3 linked regions of the Styela clava genome follow. The main gene of each other region encodes a partner of the protein of the gene in region 3 in a complex. Links are inferred from orthologs where the notes say so. Each region holds a gene or a part of one and is shown on either strand. Other genes may lie near its edges.

Region 1 (7,415 bases), on a different chromosome or scaffold from region 3:
TGTTGCGAATTCTTACATACCAATCTGAAAGAACACGATTTAGGCTTTAGAAATATCTCCGAGTTTGCAGATACTTTTATCTGTACTCGACCGTACTTCCAGACCAGTGGATCTCAAAGTCACGCGGCCCATTTTTATAATTTGTCAAGTTTCGTGCCCCACCTCAAAAAAACTGGCTAACAATAGGCTACAAATAACGGATAGTAAGGTGAAAGTATATTTTATTCAAAAAACACGTTGAAAATACGAGGATGGAACGTAAATAATGAAATAGATGAAAGTTTTGAAATTTAAATATCCAAAATAAGCCAGACAAGATCAAAACTAACAAATATTTTTATTTTTAATTAGCTCCACGCCCTCTCAGAAAATTGTCTACGCCCGCCTTGACGTGTCCCACCTTTGAAAACCACTGTCCGAATCGATTCGAGTCCATATCTTTCCTCATCCCCCTTAAATAAAACTCACCCGTCAAATAACTCGTAGTTTAGTTATTATGCAACAGTAGCACAAAATATGTATTTTGATTGGGAAATTATTTATCATAGTTGAGTCTGTGTACATTAGGTGTAGAAACATCTTTATCACATTCAAAGCAGGATGTGAACTCTGTTCTTATGTTTTGCTCTCGTAAGCTAATTGAAAATGAGATTTCGTGTCACAAGAATAGTTTCTGGTTTTGTGAAGAAATTAATTATAGAAATTAATAATTATCAAAAGGTCCGATTCTCAAATTTACTATTTTTCATGCAATAATTTATGCAAATATTAGTTTGATTTGAGACAAATTATATGGCCAGATCTGGCGAAGAACATTATGGTGCCTAGGAAGATTGGAATTGTTTTGTCTGATCAAACTTTTCATTTTTGCTAGCTCATGTGACATTCGTTACACTGACGGAGTACAGTCTTTGAACTGGGCAAAAATATTGAAGACAATTGTTGATGATCCCGAAGCTTTCTTTGATCAGGGTGGATGGAGCTTCCTTGAACCTGAGAGTGACGTAAGTTGATTCTACGATAATCCATTGCTTAACACAGCGGTTCCCAAACTTGTCATTCGTTCGGCGCACTTACATGAAAAAAAATTGCTGCCTTTAAATAAAATTTTACTTTGTGGTCGTAACAGTGAGTAAACGACATAAAAAGGTAAATTTAATTTATTGATTCACATACACATTTAAAGTAAGAAACAATAAAAACAAGTACAATATATTAAATATTCAATGTTCAAGTTATGTTTAACCCAATTCTGGACATTTTCGGGGCGCACTTAGCAAATCGCCGCCTGGCGTAACGTTAACGTATTTTTTATATTTCGGAAAAGGGATATGGTAGATATCTAGTGGTTATTATACTTTTATGCTTCATGGTCTCTCAACACTAATCTGAAATAGCACCTAGTGACATTCTTCACTCATGGCCCCAAGAAACCTCCTCTGTGGCCCTTCGGAGAAAGAAGCCCAGTTTGAAAAAAAACTCAAGCTGACTCAATAATGGCTGCAGATACATTGACTTGGATGAAAGAAGATTTGAAATGAGAGAATTTAGAGTATAAAACCTTGGTCCTATGGCACCTAGAAAAATCACCCCCAATATTCGCTTTGTGGCCCTCATGGAAAGGTCGGGTTGGATAAACTCTGGGATAAATCATTAATGTTTGCAAATCCATAAGGTTGATGATAGAAGAATTTAAGGCAGAGTATTTAAACCTTGAAATTCTTTGTTTCAAACCAGGAGGATGCTGGAGATGATTCTGAAGAAGAAGAAGAGTTTGTTCCAGAGGATGGCTCTGAAGCGGAAGGATCCGAGACAGATGAAGATAGTGATGAGGATTATTCAAGTGAGGCAGAATCATCCTTTGATGAAGAATCTTTAGGAAGTGGAGAAGAAAGCGGGAAAGACTGGGATGAATTAGAAGAGGAAGCAAAACGGGGTAAGAACTTAATCATTGATGCTGTATTTTTGTTCTACTATCTTATAGATATTGTGTGGGGTTAATTTGACATTGGAATAAATTGTGGAATACTTTATTTGGAAAATGTGATTTAGGGTGAACAACATCTGATGGTCAGTCAAAAACATATGCACCATTTGAATTACCATAATATTCAATCTCTATCAATTAACAATGATTCAATCAGTAATCTTATTGAACACAAAGTGTATTTAGGAATCGTTTTGTTATTAGGTTGTTGTTAGTATTTTTCTTTATCTTTTTGTGATTTTTCGCTTCTATTACTGGACCAATTGCTTTGAAATTTAGAGTGTTTTAGTGATTAAAGATGGTTGTTGTCGCTAGAAGGCTATTACTTTTGTGCTTAAATTTCCCATGAGATCTGATATTTCATTTAAAATTTTGCTGTTTCATTTATTTTTTGATGGGGTTATGTTTTTTATGACATCGTGACTGTTGTCTTCTGTTTTGTCTGGTGGTCAGGCGAGGGTCATGAACACTGTGGTACCTGTAGTCTACTGTGACTGACTGCATAACCGTACCACTTTCTTTTGGCCTTTGTGTCCATCTATTGAGGCATCGCTTTCTTGTTTCAATTATAACTACGAAATTTTAAACCTCAAACTAAAAAAGGGTGATCACCTTCTTAAGACCAAGGTGGTTCCATTACATTTGAACCCACGTACATTTGAACCCATGACAATTGCACCTGTATGCTATTGCACCTATGGAATTTTTTTTGTTTCACGGATAGTTAAACCCATACTAACCCTAACCCATGGGTTTTAGCACCCGCATATAGATTGAACCCGTGGATATACGCATAGGTTCAAATGTACATGGGTTCAAATGTACGGTCACCGACCAAGGTATTCTGCCATATAGGGCATCTGGTTTGATACAATATTGATATTTTCTGGTTCATAATGATAACATAAATGCATCATGCTTTTGTCACAGCTGATCGAGGACAGTATGAAGAGGAGGTAGTCACAAGTTCTTCGAAAAAAAGAAAGAGGGATCATAGTGGAAGTCGAAAATCACACAAGAAGCGAAAATAAAAATTAGTTTCAGCCAATCAATGCTGAAGATGTTGGTGTTCGCTACATTAGCGAGAGTGAAATTCTGTGCTTGTATTTTTCAACACTAGGAAATTTTTTGTACCTCAGAGTTTCGCTTTTGTAAATATTTTTGTGTTTTGTATAATAGTTACGAACTTGACTGCCATAATAGACTGCTCATACCAACATGTTAAAATAACTGTCACGCACTCTCAAAGTAACTAAGTGGTAATATACTTATGGTAACTTGTGTCTATCTTTGCTAAAAGGGTCTGCTTATCTTTCTCTCCACATAGCTAATCATTTCTAGTCTGTGTTTCTTCTTTTAATAAGTTGTTCTTATCATGCTGCCAAAATATGTTCCTTTTCCGAGTCCGTACATGTCAAAACTTTGATTAGATTTGCCATTGGTTCTTTAAATTTCTGGTCTTTTTCTTCTCGGCCTATAGCAGTTGTTAGTGTTTATGTTCCAACAAGAATATTCTCAATATTATCTGTGGTCTCTACTTGTTTGATACCATTTGCTGAACATCGTAATAACTAGTTTTGTATTTTGCAATTTTCTTGATGTGGTTAAGATTTTAAGGGGGATTTTTAGCGGAACAGTAGGATAGAATCAATACAAATAAATCTTCCTAACGTTTTTGCCGTATCACCACTGAAATGAATATACATATTTGTCATGGAAAATCTAAGGTAGGTGGTGGCGAACCATATCTGGTAACCGTTCACCAATTTCCGTGTATATGGATGATGGAGTAAGCTGTGGCCACGCCGTGGTTGCCCGGGCACAGTTGGGCGAATCTCACTTGCTGTGACAACCGACAGCAGCGCTGAATTTGAGAAAGCATTTTACCTCGCATGCAAATTAAATATACATCATTGACACCAACTGTAGTAAATGCATACAATATTTCAATTAATAGTAGTTTGGTTGTGTTGGTCACTTTAGGGTTACAGTTGTCGATATATGGTAAAATATCATACAGAGTCTATAACAAGGAAATCAACCGATCGTCAATTTTATAACGTTTTCCATGCATGAAAAATGGTAGTGTGTGTGTGAACTTATGCAGGTGCTGGAAACATCTGTTCGATTAAAACACCAGAACCCGAGTCAGTTTTCCGAATTTGCGTGTATTTGTACACATACGGGCTAGCATACTACAGTAACTGATTTGTTAATACAGCATATACTTTTCTATAGTGAGACATGTCCGTTCAGTTGGTTGGTGGGTAAATCATCCAGTCGGGCAAAAATATTTGCGGACACTATTTCACATTGACAAGTCCTATCGCCAGCCGCGTAGTCACGTGACTGCGCTAAGAATCAATAAGCGATATTTATGAGAGACCGGGAAGCTGTTGGCTGTAGCCGTAACTGGCATTCCTGCCTAGCCTGTAGTTGTATATGAAATTTCATACTCTGATGGCATAACGTTGTTCAGATGTCAGAGCTACTACAGTGACCTTTACGCAAAAGAACTCAATACAGTACGGTACCGGTATGATTAGGTATTTATGGTTTGGCAAACTTTAAGATAATATTTTAAAGCATTGTGTTCTGTACGGTATATCGCAGCTCCGTGCTTTTATTGGAGATCAAAATGAATAGTCTACAAAATGCATCAAAGACCTGTAGTACTTGATGTTTAAATCTCTTTTGAAACTTGTCAATTTTCCGGACCTTTTGCCCTGTCTGTTTATAAAGTTTGGATAGGATAAAAGGATACAGTACACTCAGAATATCTCATTTTTTGTGAACTATTGCTGTAGGACAGATGGGTAGACTTTCTAATGCGGGGGATCCATACAAGCAGACAAGGCTGTATTTCGTATTTTTTCATTTTATTTACTGCCTTCAATTGCGTTGAAATTTATATTTTCAGATTATATTCTTGAATTTATTGTAATTAATAGTTTTGCAACTTCCATATATAATTAAGAAGAGAAAAATGGATAGAGAAATTCAAAAAATGTTTTCGACTGATCGGATTCCGAACATTCAGTCAAGTGTACTTGTTTTTGCATATCTTCCCATTGGAATATTGCTCTTCCTTCTGAGAATATGCCTGCTATTGAACTTTGTTATCGCAAGGCAGTTATTGAAATTAATTATGAAAGAAAACAATCCTGTATTCAAGAATATAAGTTGGATATATATGGTTATACTCGGTGTTAAAGTTAGCGTGAATGGAGCAATATGTGCAAACGTTTTAATATCAAATCAAAAGTCAAACATTGATGGATTTATATTCAGCCATGGACTTAATGTTGTAAGTGAGAACAAGTGGAACTTGGGGCCATTTATGCGAAAAATACTACGATTGGAAAATTTTAAAAATATTGTTGCGGGTAAGACATTACCGATTGTCATTTTCCCAGAAGGTTGTCCAACTACTGGTGCTGGAATATTAAAGTTTGAAACTTCTTACTTCAAAAGAACAAACTGTGTTCAAGTTGGTGCAATCTCAACATATAGAATCCTGCCAATTTCTACTGCCACTGCACATAGTACTTTGATTGGTGATATGTTTTGGATGCTTTTTACACCTGTAACCTCATATACAATTCAACTGTCAGAAACAGTCGTTAAAAGAGATGACAATATGAGTGAAAATGATTTTTTAAATTCAACAATGACACAAATATCAAACATGTTGAGGGTTCCAGTTTTAACAATCTCTTGTCAGGACAAAAATAAATATTTTGAAAACTTGAGGCGACAAAGAGAAGCTCAAAAAAGGGCAATATCCAATGCGAGTCAAAAACTTCTCCATATGGCCAGTAAAGTGCAAGAGATTGTACCGCATGTTCCACGAAATGTCATTTTGAATGATTTAGCCAAAACTAATTCTATTGATGTGACATTGACAAATATATTTGAAGGTATTGTTAAATTTTCACCTATTAAACCGAAGCCAAAGAAACAACCAAAAGTGAAACAGCCATCACCACAGTCATTGCTGGAAAAAAGGAAAGCTGAAATGTATGAGATGGCGAGAAAAAGGTACAAGGAAAAGCATGAATTGTAACGCTTATCAAGTATTGTCATCCATGTGCAATGTTGGATTTTCTGTCAAAATCATTGGAGAAACTTGGAATCTTCGTTTCCGTTATGGATGCCGAACTGAACAGACCAATATTTAAAAATATCCAGAATTTGAATTTCTATGTACTATTTATTAAAAATGTCTATTGTCTATTAATGAGATTTGAAAAGTTTGGCATGTAAAATAATTGAAATTAAAACCTGAATTTTAGACTACATTACTGCCATGAATTTGGAATAGCAGAACAAGCTGTATTGCTAAATATTTTTATACTCGCTGTTTTATAGAATTTCAGTGCAATCTGAATACATCGAAGACCTAATTTTCAATGAGATGTGCATTAGCTGTAAAAACAGAGCGCCACAGAGCGGGTGGCTTGTGTGTTTTTTGGTTTGTCTTGATTTCTTATATGCATGTGGTGGCCATAAGAATCTTTTCAAACATCGATCAAGCCATAATTTTGCTCCACTTGTTAATTCTTCAGTACTCTAAAACTGGTTACAATTCTTACTCCTGATTTGTGCAGTTTGAAATGACATACCAGACTATAATACCACTGAAAAACTTGACAATATGTCATGCTGAATATTCTCTTGCACAACTACACATATTTGACTCGGACACTGGCCACCAAATATGCAACTCTATGACTGAAGTTGTGTTGGTGTTTTCAAAGTTATTTAAGAGTAAATTTATAACACTTGTTGCTTTGTGAAATATAATTGAAAGTTTATATGCTTATGTTGTGTGTTTTTGCTGTGACTTATTCGGTAGTCATAGTCTCATTGATGGGACTTCTGTTTTCAGGTATCTGTCTTAGGCCTTTTTTGTTTTCAATTGGGGAAAAATAAGACATCTAACTAGGAAATAGATCTGATTCAATATATATACAACTAAATAATATTTTCGTTGAGTTTTCCGTGAGGTATGCTATTTTATTTTCCAATTAAAGACTGTCAATTCGGTCTAGTATAATGTTTGAAAACATCTAAATAAAGCATTTTATTGGCTTCATGACGTTAGTTAAACGCTGTGAGGCTTGCGAGGAAGTCAATTAACAACTCAATTAAAAACGTTTCAGAAAAGAAATTGGTTACTTCATATGAGGATAAGGAACTGGGTACCTATGTAGTGATGAAAATCAAAGCCATTCGAGTGTCATGACAATTTTTGAATTTTTTTTTTTGACACTGTTTGTCCGACAATAATAGCCCTATCAGCTATTATCTTGTTTGTATAACAAAACCTGCGGCGACCGCGCAAAAAACAATACCACCAACGCAACAAAATTAGACCAGGATGGTCCGAGGTTGTCATATCGAAGGGCCACAAAATTTGTTTAGG
Region 2 (7,404 bases), on a different chromosome or scaffold from region 3:
ATAAAAATGCTTTCTAGAGCATATTTATGTATTTTTCTCAACATTTGAGGACTAAAAATATCAAAAACGCGTTTCTATAGACCAGGGGTCACCAAACTACGGCCCGCGGGCCGGATCCGGCCCGCGTCGTCATTTTATCCGGCCCGCAATAACACACAAAAGTGGCCAAATATTTTTCCAAGAAAAATTTTCTCGAGCATCGTCTTCCTTGTTTATTTCGTAACATTGGCCAATCAGCAAGATGCAGAAAAAATGACGTAATAATGGGCCTTTTCGCATCCGCTCAGACACTTTGGTCACCCTGACAGATTTTCAGTCGTGGTTGTAAAAAATACTTCATTTTTTGCGATTCTGAATGCTATTTGTTAGTTTCTGGTTGTGTTTGGGAAATTTAAGTACCGTATGAATCAAATAAGTCAATCATCATTTGCCTCTTTAGGAGTTGTAGTTTTAATAGTAGTAATGAAAAATTAGTCTAAGAAATAGCTGTGACAAAATGGGCTAAAATTTTCTACCGGGAGGCAACGTTTTCTGCGAAAGATGCACTCGCCGAAACTGTTTACGTCTTCGTGCTAAAATGAACGTCGAATGTGCATTTTGCGCTAACAGTACTGTAATCCCTTGCGCACTGGTCCAATTTCATTCTTTTTGACAAAAATATTTGTCCGGCCCGTTTCAACACAGTTTGAGTCATACCCGGCCCGCGTTCAAAAAAGTTTGGTGACCCCTGCTATAGACCTAAAACACCACCGTAGAAAATGCCAAAAGACTGACAACTCACCAGGCCTCTAGGTCAGTAGGTAGTCGAGTTGTCTCTGGTGAGTTGTCCGTGTAGTTGAGTTGTCCCTCAGCCGTTTATACAACTTCATCGCCCCCCCTGCACTACAAAAAATGTAAAGTCTGAAACGAATATATTACAGACCAAAAAGGAAGGCAAATCATAGTTTATAGTGTTTTTTAATTAGATGGATGAGCTTGGTGTTCTTCAACAAGTTATTTATTATATCTAAAATTAACCCGTTTACTGATGAAAAGGCGATTTCGTTGTTTTGATAGCAATAGTAGCACGGTTGAAAACCCCCTTTTCACCATATAATAGGTCAGAAATGAAAGAATTCAGGGTTCTACCTCCATAAAAACCGCCGTGTACGGTACTTGCATTATAGCATTTCACTCCCTAAATTCACCCCATTTCCACAAAATAATGAAAACAAAGTTAATTTTCCCAAATTTATAATGATGATTATCGTACATCTAATTCATTCCTACAGCCAAGACAGCCTTTTGACCTGTACCAAAATACTTCGGTAAAATTCATCCCCGATTCCTCAGTCTACCACGATCTCCAGTTCATAGAATTAATCAGCCATTTGTTTTTGGATTCATGGACTCGGATGTGGAAGAAGTCGTGACCGACTATCGGCTACGGCCCAGGGGCAGCAAATTTTATGTCACTCGCGGGACAAAATTCAGAGTTGCTAGTCTTTTGCGGGTCGCTTTTATTTTTTAAAGTTAAAAACGGAACAGTGCGCAAAAACTGCGACAATTCGTGAATTCAACTCAGTCGTCTTATTAAAAAATTATTACAATGACATTTAATGTGACACTGTCTTGTTGCTGCATCACGCTTGATAGCTTTACGACACCAAGATTGGTACTTTTTCTAAATGGGCGTCACTAATTCATCACCTAGTTCTTTGCTTGTTCTTTGTAATGTTCATTTTCGGAAATAAATTTGCGCACAAATATGTACTTCCAAACATCGAAGTGAGTATTTTCGCATGGTTTGTGAAATTTTGATAAAGATATTCTTTAACATTTTTACAAAAATTAAGCAGTGATTGAACCTCTCGAATAGAATATGAATTTTATTTCCCTATTGCATTGCAATATACTGATATATTCGAATATTTACTGCGCTATTGAACCCCTGCCCTCAGGCCTCAGCATCAACTTTTCTTCGTGTTTCCATTTGTCTAATTATAATTAAATTGTAGGCTCGTTAAACGAGTAGCTGGTCAATGGAATTTTCAGGATATAATAAAATTTAGTCTAAAGCAGGGGTGTCAAACTCGTGGGTTTCCGAGGGCCGCATTGCATTTTGGGAATTGTGCAAAGGGCCGCAATCAGTTTTTGATATATATATTTTGATAATGTATACTTGAAGCATATTTTTAGATGGGTGTAGTTTGTGACATATATTGTGATGCAATTAAACAGTTGAATAAAGTTTTGTTATCTTCCTAAATTTCAAATGACGTTTACATATTAATTATATTATTGCAATTTACCGTAATTACGAAAAATCATGAATTTTTATGTACAACTATCCAAAACATTTTTAAACAAAGTTTTGTAAAGGGAAGAATAATACATGCACTAAAAATGACTTACCGGAATCTAAATATATAGACCTAAAATTTACAAAAATACTACAGAATAAACTCAATGTTTTTTCATTACATATGTCTTGACATTTTGTATCTCTTTTGTGCAACCAGCTTACTAATATCAGGCTGAAATGATTTTACAGTCCCAACTCTAATTAACGAAGTCACATGATCGTCGGTTAATCTGGATTGTTGAGAATGTTCAATTAATTTCAGTAATGCAAAAATATTACGTTTATCATCCCATGTATAAATCCGTAAACAAACAAATGACTGACTTTTCGGACCAGATATTTCACGACATTTCCTACCATTACGTGGCATAGGACCGCTCTAGTTATGATTGATATTGATTTTTAGTAACTAGGTAGTTGTATAATTATACTGTAATAATATACAAACACATGAAAAGTTTATTTTCGAAGTTGATCTCTAAATTTGTCATATTGATTGCTGAGCATATTTTGATAATGTCTACTTATATTGTATTCTTTATTGTACTGAGGAAATGTGACAAATCGAACAATGTGCTCCATTAGTATTTTGAGAAATGCAGAAATATTGCAGCTCCCATTTTTCTTTAAAAATGCCATTTTCTTCATGTACTTTGCGTTTCATTTAATCCCTGAAGTCCTGAAGTGTTTTATTCAAGTATTTTATTGCTAGCTTGAGGTGTATTCATAATTGGGTCAAATTGAAAAACATTTTTATTTTAATTTTTCAGAACTACTTTCAATAAATTGTCGTTTTCTGTGTCAATAAACAATTTCACTTTGAAAGGTTCGAAAAATGTATTACATTTAGATAAAAAAAAAAACTTACAAAATATTACAATTATTGTTAGGCGTCCGAGGGCCGCATTGTAAGTTCTCTGGGGCCGCATGTGGCCCGCGGGCCGCGAGTTTGACAACCCTGGTCTAAAGTAGGCTCACGATAAATTCTGTTGTCTAAAAAATATAATTTACTCCTCGAGCGTAGATTATAAATAAAATTAATTCATCGTCAAAACCGCCGTTTGGATGTTTCCCCAGGCATACCCTTCCTTGTTTACTTTGTGGCATTGCCCAATCAGCAATCAGCAAGATGCAAAAATAAACGTAACAATGCCCCCTTCCGCATCCGCTCAGACACACCCTCATTTTCGCGTTTTTTTAAATATATTTGTTAGTTTTTAGTTGTTTTTCGGAAATTTAATATAAGTCAATGATTACTTTGTCTTCCTATGAGTTTCAGTTTAAATACAGTAATCAAAAAGTGTAAAATAATATGTGATAGACTAGGCTAAAATTCTTTATCGTCACTTTTAAAAAACAGGAAGAATTTTTCGCGGTCAAAGGTCGGGGAAAGGTCCATTCAGTGAATCGTCCCTGAGCAGATTATTTTACTCCGGCCGTATTTTGCCGAGCGATACGCGAACTACCGTAACTTACTGCGAAGACGAGTCCAGTAATCCTTTGGCGTGTAATAATCGCCCCCGTGATTCAAGCATGCGAATGCACACAGAGTACAGAATTAAGTGCACGATGCGTCGAACAAAATCAGGTTTCGTGAAATCGCCCCCTTTGACTTTTTCGCCCCCCTCTGTATCATTTTCGCCCACCGCCCACTTTGGGAATCACTGGGCTAGAGTAAGGTAACCTTGGTCTGTTTAGGTATCGTAATTTAGGTTTCGTTCCGATAATTGCAGGACAGCAGGAACTTGTTTTTACCACTGTCCCCCAAAGTTTGCTGTTTTACCTGGAAAATCACCTAGATGTAGGCGTATATAGATGTATATAAAATGTCCTTTGAAAGACAGAAAGATATCTTTGGTAGGTTTATGTAAAAATTCTTCCCAGTTCCGGTTATTTATGGTCTGTTCCGGTTATTAAAGGAACCCATTATCTGTAGACTATACCGGAATATTAATTTTTTATTTGTGCCACAATTGCAGAAAGTATTTGTTAGGCAAAAACAAGTAAAATGCCTTCGTCTTTTGTCCTTCGAAGGATACCTGTTATGCTTCCAAGCATACAGCTATACACAGTAGCAAGCATTCTATTGCTTGTATTAGTTGTTTTTTGGGCTGATAAGGAACACACAAGAATGAATTCAAAACAATCAGAAAACCCATCAATGACTGTTGATAAGTTTCATACACATCAACAACCAGATGTTGAAATGTCCTCTGTTTCTGAACGAGGCATGTTCGGTATATCTTATGTTCAAGGTAGGCTACCAAGCTTTTGAAGTTATTAATTTGTCATATTACTGTATTACGATTGGCTTGTAAATGGAAAATCGACTGCATGTAGATGTCCATTGTATCATCCTTTACCATACACCAAGATCTATAATATTGATTTTTTTTTCATGGAGCAAACGTTCTCTGTGAAAACCTTGTTTATTTGTATTTGACTACTACTTTTTTTGTTTAAAAACCCGTTATTTCTAGTCGACCATTCATTCCAAGTGCATAACTCTTGATTTTGTATTTCATTTTCTGACATAAAAAAATATTGGCCCATGCTGCATTCGGAGAAGTAATCAAAAAATCGCACTTAGTGTTTTTTCGTCATAAAATTAACCAGAAAAATCTTTTGACATATTGTTACACCACCAATGTCTCTGAATTGTCCGATGTTATGGCTAGCTGAGGCAACTAGTGAAGTTGAATGATGTTCTTGGCAGTCCTTCTATCTTTTTGGTCAGGAATATGCTAACAATTTTAGCATCATAAGGAGCTTAAGTTCAATGCCAATTCTTTTAGCCTAGGTTGGCTGTGCCTGATAACTAAATGTTATTGTCATGGTCTAACAATATAATTCATGTTGGGTGTTTATTGCGACCATCCTAAACAGAATTACAAAAAATGCTGCCTATATTAGTAATTACCCTCGGCCTTGATGTTCGGAAGCATTTACATTTGCAGAAACACTTTCTGTTTTACAGAGTTCGAAATCTTACCATAAATAAAAATATAGAAAGACTTTTGTATGTTTCAGTAAGTTTTTGGTGGTTTGGCACTATTGTGGCCTGCGAACAATGCAAAAATAATTGTGTGGCCTCCGGAGCCAACAACCTTGGACCACCCTGGTCTAGTCAATAAAATGTGAAGCCAAATACTTTTTTATACAATTTTTATTAATGTGAACTATGAAGGTTTTCAGTCGTGGATAAACACGATCATATTATGAGCAGATTGTAACTTGGTGGGATGCCAATATCCTCGGTTACATAATAAATCTTTTCATCATCCAACTGTCTTTTGTTATTATAAAAATTTAGCATTGTTGTGTGATTTAACTGTAGTTATGTGAACTAGTCACAATCTTCTTTAGGCATTCAACTCCATATTTATATATTGAAATACCATCTTCAAAAGACCAGTTTGATCCATGAGTCATTATAGGTATTTGTAAAAGCAAGTGAGAATATAAATTTGCAATATGGGCAAATCTGGTTCTAAGGACACATCTAATCTGATTTACTGTAAACCTGTCAAAGTGTTAATGATTTCACCCAGATAGGATAGGATCTATTCAAGTATCATCAAGTTTGATCAAATCTCAGAATTGATGTGTAAATTTGCAGTTGTAAAATAAAATAAATTGTTCTGAAAGTTGTATTTCATTGGTTGTTCGTGTGAGGAGAATATGGGGCACGATACGGTAGAGCAGACCCTATAGATAGGCCAAACTAACATAGATATTATATAAGTTGATTTCTGGATTGCCAATGTTTTCTTTTTTTCAGGAGTTGTAATAATCATGCTCGATGAGCCCCTTACTCTTGGTGTGTTAATCAATGCTGCTTATTGTTTATTTGCACTTGGCGCAAAATTTATTCTCAAAGTTGTATTTGGAAACTTGAGAGTTGTAGAAAGACAACATATTAAGGTTTGATATATTCCATGGCTATTACCATTTTTTTTTCTCTGTGTAAAACTTTCTAAAAAAGTTTGAATGTGATCTGATTGACTAAACTAATGTAATTTTTAAATTCTTGTAAACCTTAAAAATTGTATCTGATCGTGCCATGCACTGGTTTTATTTTGTCGCATAACATTTTATTGTTTTTTGAGTGCCCACAAGGGTGAATGTAAAATTTCTATTTTAAACTAGGATAAATTAATAGTAATATTTTTATGTTTTGAATTAGTTTGTACTGTAGCCTTTCACTTTTTATGTGGTTTATAGAATTGAAGGAAAAGATATTTTGGAACAGTTCAGAAAAAAAGATATCCATTGTATTGTTTTTGTTAATAGTGCAATTTTGATTCTTATGAACTTAATTAAATATTTAAAAATTGAAATGGAGAACATAACACAGAATGGTGGATGTATTCTAACTGAATAATGATGAATATAATATAAAGTTGTACTGATATTGCATCATACCATGTCTCATTTCTGAATATGTTAATTTAATGCCCTTATATAAAATCAATAGGCATGAGTCAGCTTGTTTGCTGTACTGTCTGCCTCATGCCATCAATTCAATGTTTACTGAGAGAAAACAACCATTTTTCGATGTTACATTATTTTTGTTGTAAAATTTTAAAGATACGTTAAGATGTCATTATTAAAATATATTTTATATTGATAAAATCATGGTATTAGGTATGTATGTTTATTTGCCTCAAAAATGTAACAATCTCTGAATAATAATTAAACAGTAAAACAGAGACTGGATACATGTTCCAGACCTTACCCAACACCCCTAACAATTATAACAGCAGTTTAGGACTGTTGCGTTATAATAGGACAACGGGCATGAAATATGCTATACAAATACAACTCAAGTAAAATACACAAGACAAAGAGGTACGACACAACGACGATATGTATAATTTAGTCAGTTTGTTTATGTCCATGTCACAGTTTATGGCTTCCATTACAAAATGTTCAATAGAAAATTTAACTGATTATTTTTATATTGGCAACAGGACAAATTCTGGAACTTTGTATTCTACAAATTCATATTTGTGTTTGGAGTGATGAATGTTCTTACACTGAATGAGGTCTTATTATGG
Region 3 (7,823 bases):
CTGTTGGAATTGAAAAGATTAAGAAGATATTTCAGCTTCCAATTATTAACAAACAAATTATGACGTGATTTAAAAAAACTTCTAGTTTTGTACACGGCTGGATAGCTGGAATAAAATCACAGTTGCTCCGCTCTGCAGTTTTGTTTTTATAATCTCAGCCGGGCTTCGACTCCATACCTAATGAGGTTTTTAACCAGTGTGACCACTATCATGAAATATTTGCCACAATGCAGTTTCGTGGAAGCTGGACTCAAAACTATGATATACGGGTTTCAAAATCAAAGTGTTAAATATATAAATTGACAACTTGAAACTCTCAAATCAATATTGTACGTTGAAATTTATAACAATTCAAGAGCTGAAAAGGATAGTTTTTATTATTTGTATCAGAAAATTATGAACGTTCAAAATAATTAGATCGTTAGGAGCTGGTATCCACTAAATCCATTTCTGGTAGCTCCAGCTCCATCTAACATGTTAGCTTGGCTCCAGCCCGACCAAAATGTCAAAGCCCCAAGCTACAGGCTCCGAATCAAGCTCACAGCCCTAGTTCTATCACACAAAAAATTGATTTCATCATACAAAATAATTTTCAAAGGACCAAAATATGTATAGATGCAAAAGGACTACACCACTACACAATTACCAGATCCAGAGGTAACTAAGTTTTATGATCAATAGAATACCAACCATTCTCTGCTATATAACATTTGCATGTGTAGCCTTGCTGTAAAATTCATAGTGTTATGTTATTCATAATAAGGTAATCTGGATGTCTAAATTGAGAAAGTGAATTAAATATATATAAATTGCACTTAATGATTATTAAACTGATATATCAAAATCTTACTGTTTGGATGAAACATATCACATGTAAATCGCATTGTAGGAGGACTAAGAGGATAATCTGATGGAAAAGTCATCACAGCTGAAAAAACTCCACCTTCGAATGGTGTGCCTATTGGTCCCCTATAAAAAAAATAAAGCTTAGTCATACTCTGGTGGTATTATTTTAACTCGTAGCTGAAGTGTTAGCAATGAGTTGGTTTCATTGCATTGTTCTGCATTAGGAAAATTGTCAGACCGATTATGCCATGTTGCGCTTTTTCAAGAAGTGTACTCTAAGAAGAAGTCTTCCGGAGATATGGGCAGTCGCTTCCAAACATGGCAAAATCAGTCAAAAACCAAAAATGAAGGGCTCAAAGAATAAATACAGAAAGTTATGTTGCATTTCTATTTATGGCGAAGTTGGCTAAACAAAAAATTGTTGGACTGAATACAATTTTTTGAACATTTAAATTGGGATTACAAGTTCAGTCAAATTCAAATTGGCAATAAATATATACAACTTTCATTTTGGTTTGTCCATTTAGGAATCTAAGATAAATTCATATCAAGTGATTTAGTGAAGTCGAAATTTTCAATTTATATAGAATGTATTTGTTTTCACATGATGTATGATTTGAGATCATGGCATAAATGGAGATTTCTAATGAGATATTCAACCAATTTAGAGAATTAAGTTATCAGAAAATCTAAGAATAAATAACAAGAGTAATTTTGAGTATATTAGTTTCTGTATGTTCATAAAAAAACATACTTTGACTTCGAGAAATACTTAAGCTGAACCTATGTTTTAAAACTATGGGTTAAAGTTTCAATAACTTTCTCTTAGTTGGGATGTTCCTGCTACAAGAATAAAAGTATTTTGAAGCATAGTATTTTATACGCTAACCAAAGTACTGAACAGACTGAATATAAAAATGTATACGTACATTATACAAGCATCCCATTCAAAATAGTTGCTTTCTTCCTTTGGCCCAGCAACAATTCCTTCCGGTGCTTGTGTCGCCAACTCTAAAAATGTATATATGCATACATGAAAGTATAAACTTTCAAATATATTTCAAAGCAAGAATGTATAAGTAAGTATATTTTGATTTCCCCGCCAAAAAAAATCATACACAAAACACAAACAATGAACACACAGAAGATCGGGAAAATCGGGGAAACTGGCAAAACCTTTATAAAGGTTCAATACATGTAAATATACATGCGCCAGTTTACTCACATTCAACACACAAACATATATGCAAAATAAAAATGATAAGACACGAATGGGTATCGTTCGGGTTTCAAACATAACATAAACACTCGGTGGGTCCCAATTAATAAATACACTTTGATAAATACACTTTGATAGGATGGAATGCAAGGCTATGGTATGTGTATCACAACAGTGCTTTTCCTACAAAAATATGGAATATACAACACTCGTTGACGTAAAATGGTGATGCTGTAGTTCAATTCCATTGCAAAAATAACACAGTGACAAAAAATTGTTACTGAAAAAAAATTAGCTCTGTAAATAGATTGCATGTTTCATAACACTGTAACAGTCTATGCACAAACATGGATCGGGATATCGGTTTTTTTTGTCGTATAATGCTGTAATGTCAGAATCTGCACAATTTCAACAAATGGACCGGTTCCGGGTACCGGTATGGCCGTACGTATTTACTGGCACCGCAATGCAGTTCAAAATAAAAAATCATTCAATATTCATCTATTGAATTTCACCAATTTTGTCACTATAGGTACAGTGATTTAACATCTAACTTAATGGAAACTGGGATGATATTACTATAATAATGCAAAGTTGACGCCTCTCCAAGCCATGTACTCAGGTTGAGAAGCATATGCGGCAGTACATACAGTACCGTATTTGTGCAATAACGTACCAGTACCGATATGGTACCGGTACCGTACCGCTACCGGTACTAAATATGAGATTGGAGTTACTTCAAAACTTACGTTTGTATTCAGCCATAAGTCGTTTTGCTGCCATCTTGAAATTTTAGTGTGACCCTTATCTTCGAAAAAATATCTTGTTCAGAACACTAAATAATTAAAACTTGAGTAGTCTACGAGTATCCTATCCCAACTCACTGAAACTGCAATCGATAGATCTGTAGATCAAGAAATAAAGGCGTAGCACGCGTACCAGTATCGGTACTGAAGTGACGGAGTGGAGGTGCAGGCACTGTATAAATTTGACGGGAAGCTATACGACGCGGTGCCTAAAATGTGACACCTCAGTGACACCAATGACATATAACAACATGATGCGCAACTCCGGCATTTTTGTCCGAAGATCGTATTCGATAGCACGCTCCAATGCACATACTTGTCGAGACGAAAACGAGCGGATGTGTGCTGCTTTCAAGGCGTAGCACGAATGGTGTTCGTGCCTGCTTTGACAGTTGTTGTCGATTTTAATGATATTTTTGAAAGTAAGGTAAAAAGAAATCGGTAAAAGGTAAGGTGAATACTATTGTTGTATATCACACCCGGGCATCGCACTGTTAAGTACATGTGGGAAAGCCAGCCTTTGTCAAATACTACGAAGTTATTAATTCAGTACGGTACGTAGTTGCCCATTTGCCGAAATTACATATTTACTTACTCCTTATGGTTTCAAATAGTTCATGCACCTCCAGTTAGATTTTTTTAATCAGTGAGGATATATACTCATTGTTGATTGCTGCTCATTGTAACATACTATTACGCATTCACTTTTATTTGCGTATTGAATCAAAGTGTTAACAAGTTCACCTAACATTTCACTCATACCGGTCTATATTGTATAGTCTGATTTCTCAAGTATTTGGAGCCACGAATGCTTGTAATTTTCTGACTAAACCCTTTTATTAGTTGGTTTATTTTCCAAAATTCAGTAAAATATTTTTTAAATAAAACATGAGATATTGGATTTATTAGCTTTTCCATTCTGAATCATATAGACTGCTTTATTTATTCTTAACAAAAATTAATAAATCTCCTCTCTTTCTTCAGATGTGAAAGTTGTGGACAAACCTGTCTAAGCATTGTGAGACTCTTGCAGCACAAGAGGCAATAGCAGAAATAGTAAGTATATCAATCAAGAAATTAAGCCGACATAAAGCAAAACTTTCAACTATTCGTCTAATCTCAATTTCCTATTATTTATTCACAGGACAACTATAGCAGACGGGGAGATATCAGAAGTCTGGCGACATATCAGTGACAGTGTGATTCCAAGAAATATAATGCAATTGAAAATTGCAATAGAAAAACAACCTATGGAGGCATCCAAAGACATTTGACCCTCCGGTAGAGTTGTGTATGGCCCCCACATCCTGCAGGGCTTGAGGAAAATAACTAAAAATTCCAAAGCGTAAGATTGCATAAGCGGTCTTATTTGTAAAAAGGCACAAAACACGCCAGACATACTTAAAACAGCTTTGGAAATGAGGATTACGGGTACCTCACTGCACCTGTGTTATATTTGGTTCATCAACTTTTGGTAGTACTATAGAAGAAATTCCGGAAGGGGTATAATCATCATTCATGATAAAATACTATCATATATTTTTTGAACAACTTCAATCTAGACCAGGGATCTCAAACTCGCGGCCCCAGAGAACTTCCAGTGCGGCCCTCGAACGCTTAACAATAATTGTAATAGTATTTTGGAAGTTTTTTTTTTATCTAAATGTAATAGATTTTTCAAACCTTCTAAAGTGAAATTGATTATTCACACAGAAAACAATTTACTGAAAGTAGTTTTGGAATATTAATTTTTTTTGTCCACATTTTGACCCAATTAAGAATACACATCAAGCTAGCAAAAGAATACTTGAATAAAACACTTGAGTAATTAAATTAAACGCAAAGTACACGAAGAAGGTGGCATTTTCGAAGAAAATGGGAGTTGTAACATTTCTGCTCTTCACAAAATTCTGAAGCACATTGTTTAATTTGTCATATTTCCATCAATACAATCAAAAAACACAATAAGCTCAGCAGTCAATATGACAAATTCGAAGACCAACTTCGAACAGAAAATTTCCATGTGTTTGTATATTAATATAATTATACAACGACTTAGTTACTAAAAATCAATATCAATAATAATTCAAGCAATCCTATGCCACGCAAGGTAGTGCGAAATGTCTTGTCGAAAAAATCTGTCATTTGTTTTTTTACTGATCTATACATGAAATGATAAAAGTAACTTTTTTGCATTACTGGAATTAATTAAACATTCGTAAAGAACCAGATAAACCCATGATCATGTGGCCTCGTTAGTTAGAGTTGGTACTATAAAATCATTTCAGACTGGCCTTAGTATGCTGGTGACACAAAAAAGATGCCAAACGCCAGGACGAATGTAATTATTAAAACATTGAGTTTATACTGTAGTATTTTTGTTAATTTTAGGTTCATATATTTAGATTAAGTTATTTTTAGTGTATGTATTATTCTTTACTTATTCAAAGCTTGTTCAAAAATGATTTTGATGGTTGTACATAGAATTTTACAATTTTTTATAATAAATACTGTAACTTGCAAATGTTGCAATAATAGTGGAATGCAAATATTAATATGTAATTGCATTTGAAATTGAAGAAAATAATAAAACTTAATCCAACTGTTTAGTTGCATCACAATATATGAGCTATGTTCTATGAACATTTGTTCTTTTCTTTGTCTTGAACTTTCCATACTCCACAGCCCCTATTAATTTTTTTTAATTTTAATTACCATGTGATGGTCATACATATCTTTAACTTGTATTTTCTGTCATGATGTATTATCTCAATGTGCCAAACTATTAATTTGTGTGCATATTTTGCTTCCAGATGACATAAATGTATTGTCATGTTTATTACCTCAGCTTGGAGTATTGACAAGAAAAAGGTGCCAGTAAATTAGGTAAAAAAATTTTCAACTCATTGTTATAATCAGAATTCACAATCAATAGGAATTATAAACAGCCAACAATCAGTGAGAATTATATGCGAAATCCCTCAGAATAAATTTGTCTAAAATCGGAGGAAGGCAAAAAATATAGGTAGTTTCCATTCACACAAGCATTTCAAGAAGACTTGCTCGAGCCAAACTAAATGAGCATCGTCAGGTGATCGGTAAGGCTGCAAGTTGAATTCAGCCCTGCAACCTCCTGCATAGAAGATAATATTAATTAGTGGGCTATGAGCTAAATTCCTAAATTTAAACAAACCTATCTAAGATGCATTATGTACCAGCAATGTTACCTACGATTAACTGAATATGTAATATGTCTAATAAATTCACCTACAAAAGCAAGTTCGATAGGTGCAAACTTTGTGTTATGGAATTGTATCGCAGCACAGTTTTGTATGACACCCTCTTTAAATGAAATTTCAATGATTAAGCGCAAACATTAAAATTACTAACTTTGAACTTTGTCATTATCTGCAAAATGTTCCACACAAATCTTTCCGCTATCGCGTTTGTAATCTTCTCTGATAAAAAAAAAAAGTCTATGATGTCCAGAATTGCTCTTTACAGCTTGCCTGTTATTCCAGCTTTCCAAGTAAGCAAAACTTCTTAGATATAGAGATTATTTTGTTTCGTTACAGGCGCAAAAAGGCAGGTACTACACGTAAAAAAGACGCCGAGTAGCAAAAGCGAGCGGAAAACGGACGCGAAAGGCGACGAGAAATATGTGCATTGGAGCGTATCATGAAATACAATGTTTTGCCTGTAGTCTTATGGAGTGACGTCAGAGTTGCCTATCATGTTGTTTAATGTCATTGGTGACACTGACAGAAGAGGGGTAGGAAACAGTTCGAATGGGGCTCAGTGCGCAATTTGGGATGAGTCACGGACTAGAGATATTGCATAACCATAATGACATAACAACATGTTGTCAGGTAGCACTTTAAATGCGGATTATGGCATCACTAGATTTTTTTTTTTGATGAATTTAGGATAGGATTTACATATTTATCCCGTGGCAGAGGAAAGCCGATAAGACGGCTTAATCATATGGCAAACCACGGCCTCTCGTCCGGTTACCAGTCCAGGTCCGGTATGGGATTAGTTAGCCAGTTATTTGTTTTCGGAAGCATGAACTTGATGGTGGAGGAAGCCGTAAACGACCAGCGGTTACGTGAACCACCCTACGGCGGCGAGGAGTCCAGCAATCCTCTCGCGCATGATCATCCCCGCATGGAATTCGAACCTGCGATCTCCGGAAGGGTAGCCTAATCAGAGATGCGGTGGCGAGCGTATTCCTAACGCTTAGCACGATGCGTCATTCCGCCGAGCCGGATAGAGGTTGGTAGCTGAAACGTCTCGTTGCGAGCAATCCCGACTGTGCGTAAGGCGCTGCTCATTTCTCTCTCGAGTCCATTCATATTTTTTATTTAAACATTTCTCCTTTGACTTACTCTCTCTATTGGATTTACTTTCCTGAATTTCCGTCTGAATGTATTAAAATCTAGTTAAAGCGTAAATATATACACCTACCTGACTTGAAGTTTGATGACATTAGAGAAAATCTCGATGGATTCGTAGGGAATCAAAGTAGTAGAAACTCCACTTACAAATTGGTTCGTCCTGGAAGTAGTTTCGTGATCAAAATAATTCGTAAGTAGGAATGCATAATACCCTATAGATGCCTCAATTCGTTCGCCCCCTCCCCCCCCCCCCCCCACCCATCAAAAAAATCGGAAATCATATTTGTATAAAATATAAATAAATGTTAAAACCTCTAACAAATACATGTTATAATAGATTAATGCATAATAAATTGAAAAGGCACACATGGAAAAAAGAAAGAACGACCAAAATAACGACTAAAAACTACGAACGGTAGCGTTGGCCGCCTAGGCTGGGCAAAGCGAAGATCGTGGTGAGTGGGAGGACGACAATCGCAGAAGGCGGCAAGCGGCTGATAGCTGAGGGGAAATGTGTTGTGCAAAAATGAATACACACACTAAATTCAAAAAAAA

What was found.
Region 1: the proteins of ubiquitin-conjugating enzyme E2 G2-like (region 3) and lipid droplet-regulating VLDL assembly factor AUP1-like are in contact, whole or in part, in a crystal structure (PDB 7LEW), measured with the Homo sapiens proteins. The link is inferred for Styela clava from reciprocal best matches to the Homo sapiens genes UBE2G2 and AUP1. Residues at the interface, in NP_003334.2 of Homo sapiens: Tyr13, Thr17, Pro20, Gly23, Ile24, Val25, Ala26, Gly27, Pro28, Met29, Asn30, Glu31, Glu38, Leu40, Met42, Glu45, Glu50, Phe51, Val53, Pro55, Lys156, Val159, Gln160, Ser162, Leu163, Leu165; in NP_853553.1 of Homo sapiens: Ser379, Arg382, Gln383, Leu386, Arg389, Lys390, Leu393, Tyr394, Tyr396, Ala397, Arg398, Arg400, Phe401, Thr402.
Region 2: the proteins of ubiquitin-conjugating enzyme E2 G2-like (region 3) and E3 ubiquitin-protein ligase AMFR-like are in contact, whole or in part, in an NMR structure (PDB 2LXP), measured with the Homo sapiens proteins. The link is inferred for Styela clava from reciprocal best matches to the Homo sapiens genes UBE2G2 and AMFR. Residues at the interface, in NP_003334.2 of Homo sapiens: Tyr13, Leu16, Thr17, Pro20, Gly23, Ile24, Val25, Ala26, Gly27, Pro28, Met29, Asn30, Glu31, Glu38, Leu40, Met42, Glu45, Glu50, Phe51, Val53, Val159, Gln160, Leu163, Gly164, Leu165; in NP_001135.3 of Homo sapiens: Ser574, Ala575, Arg578, Gln579, Met581, Leu582, Arg585, Lys586, Leu589, Leu590, Ala593, Arg594, Arg596, Phe597, Leu598, Lys600.

Annotation. Positions count from the first base shown.
Region 1 is NC_135262.1:5,698,081-5,705,495, reverse strand, and holds lipid droplet-regulating VLDL assembly factor AUP1-like, read left to right. Parts: upstream 1-4,835; 5' UTR 4,836-4,973; coding exon 4,974-6,053; 3' UTR 6,054-6,812; downstream 6,813-7,415. Other genes in the region: FACT complex subunit SPT16-like, read left to right, coding at 875-1,004, 1,738-1,936, 2,918-3,018. UniProt on the Homo sapiens protein: Plays a role in the translocation of terminally misfolded proteins from the endoplasmic reticulum lumen to the cytoplasm and their degradation by the proteasome. Plays a role in lipid droplet formation. Induces lipid droplet clustering.
Region 2 is NC_135257.1:56,134-63,537, forward strand, and holds the start of E3 ubiquitin-protein ligase AMFR-like, read left to right. Parts: upstream 1-4,305; 5' UTR 4,306-4,352; coding exon 4,353-4,599; intron 4,600-6,125; coding exon 6,126-6,268; intron 6,269-7,317; coding exon 7,318-7,404. UniProt on the Homo sapiens protein: E3 ubiquitin-protein ligase that mediates the polyubiquitination of lysine and cysteine residues on target proteins, such as CD3D, CYP3A4, CFTR, INSIG1, SOAT2/ACAT2 and APOB for proteasomal degradation.
Region 3 is NC_135261.1:20,878,153-20,885,975, reverse strand, and holds the start of ubiquitin-conjugating enzyme E2 G2-like, read right to left. Parts: upstream 3,073-7,823; 5' UTR 2,849-3,072; coding exon 2,815-2,848; intron 1,858-2,814; coding exon 1,776-1,857; intron 970-1,775; coding exon 851-969; intron 1-850. UniProt on the Homo sapiens protein: Accepts ubiquitin from the E1 complex and catalyzes its covalent attachment to other proteins. In vitro catalyzes 'Lys-48'-linked polyubiquitination. Involved in endoplasmic reticulum-associated degradation (ERAD).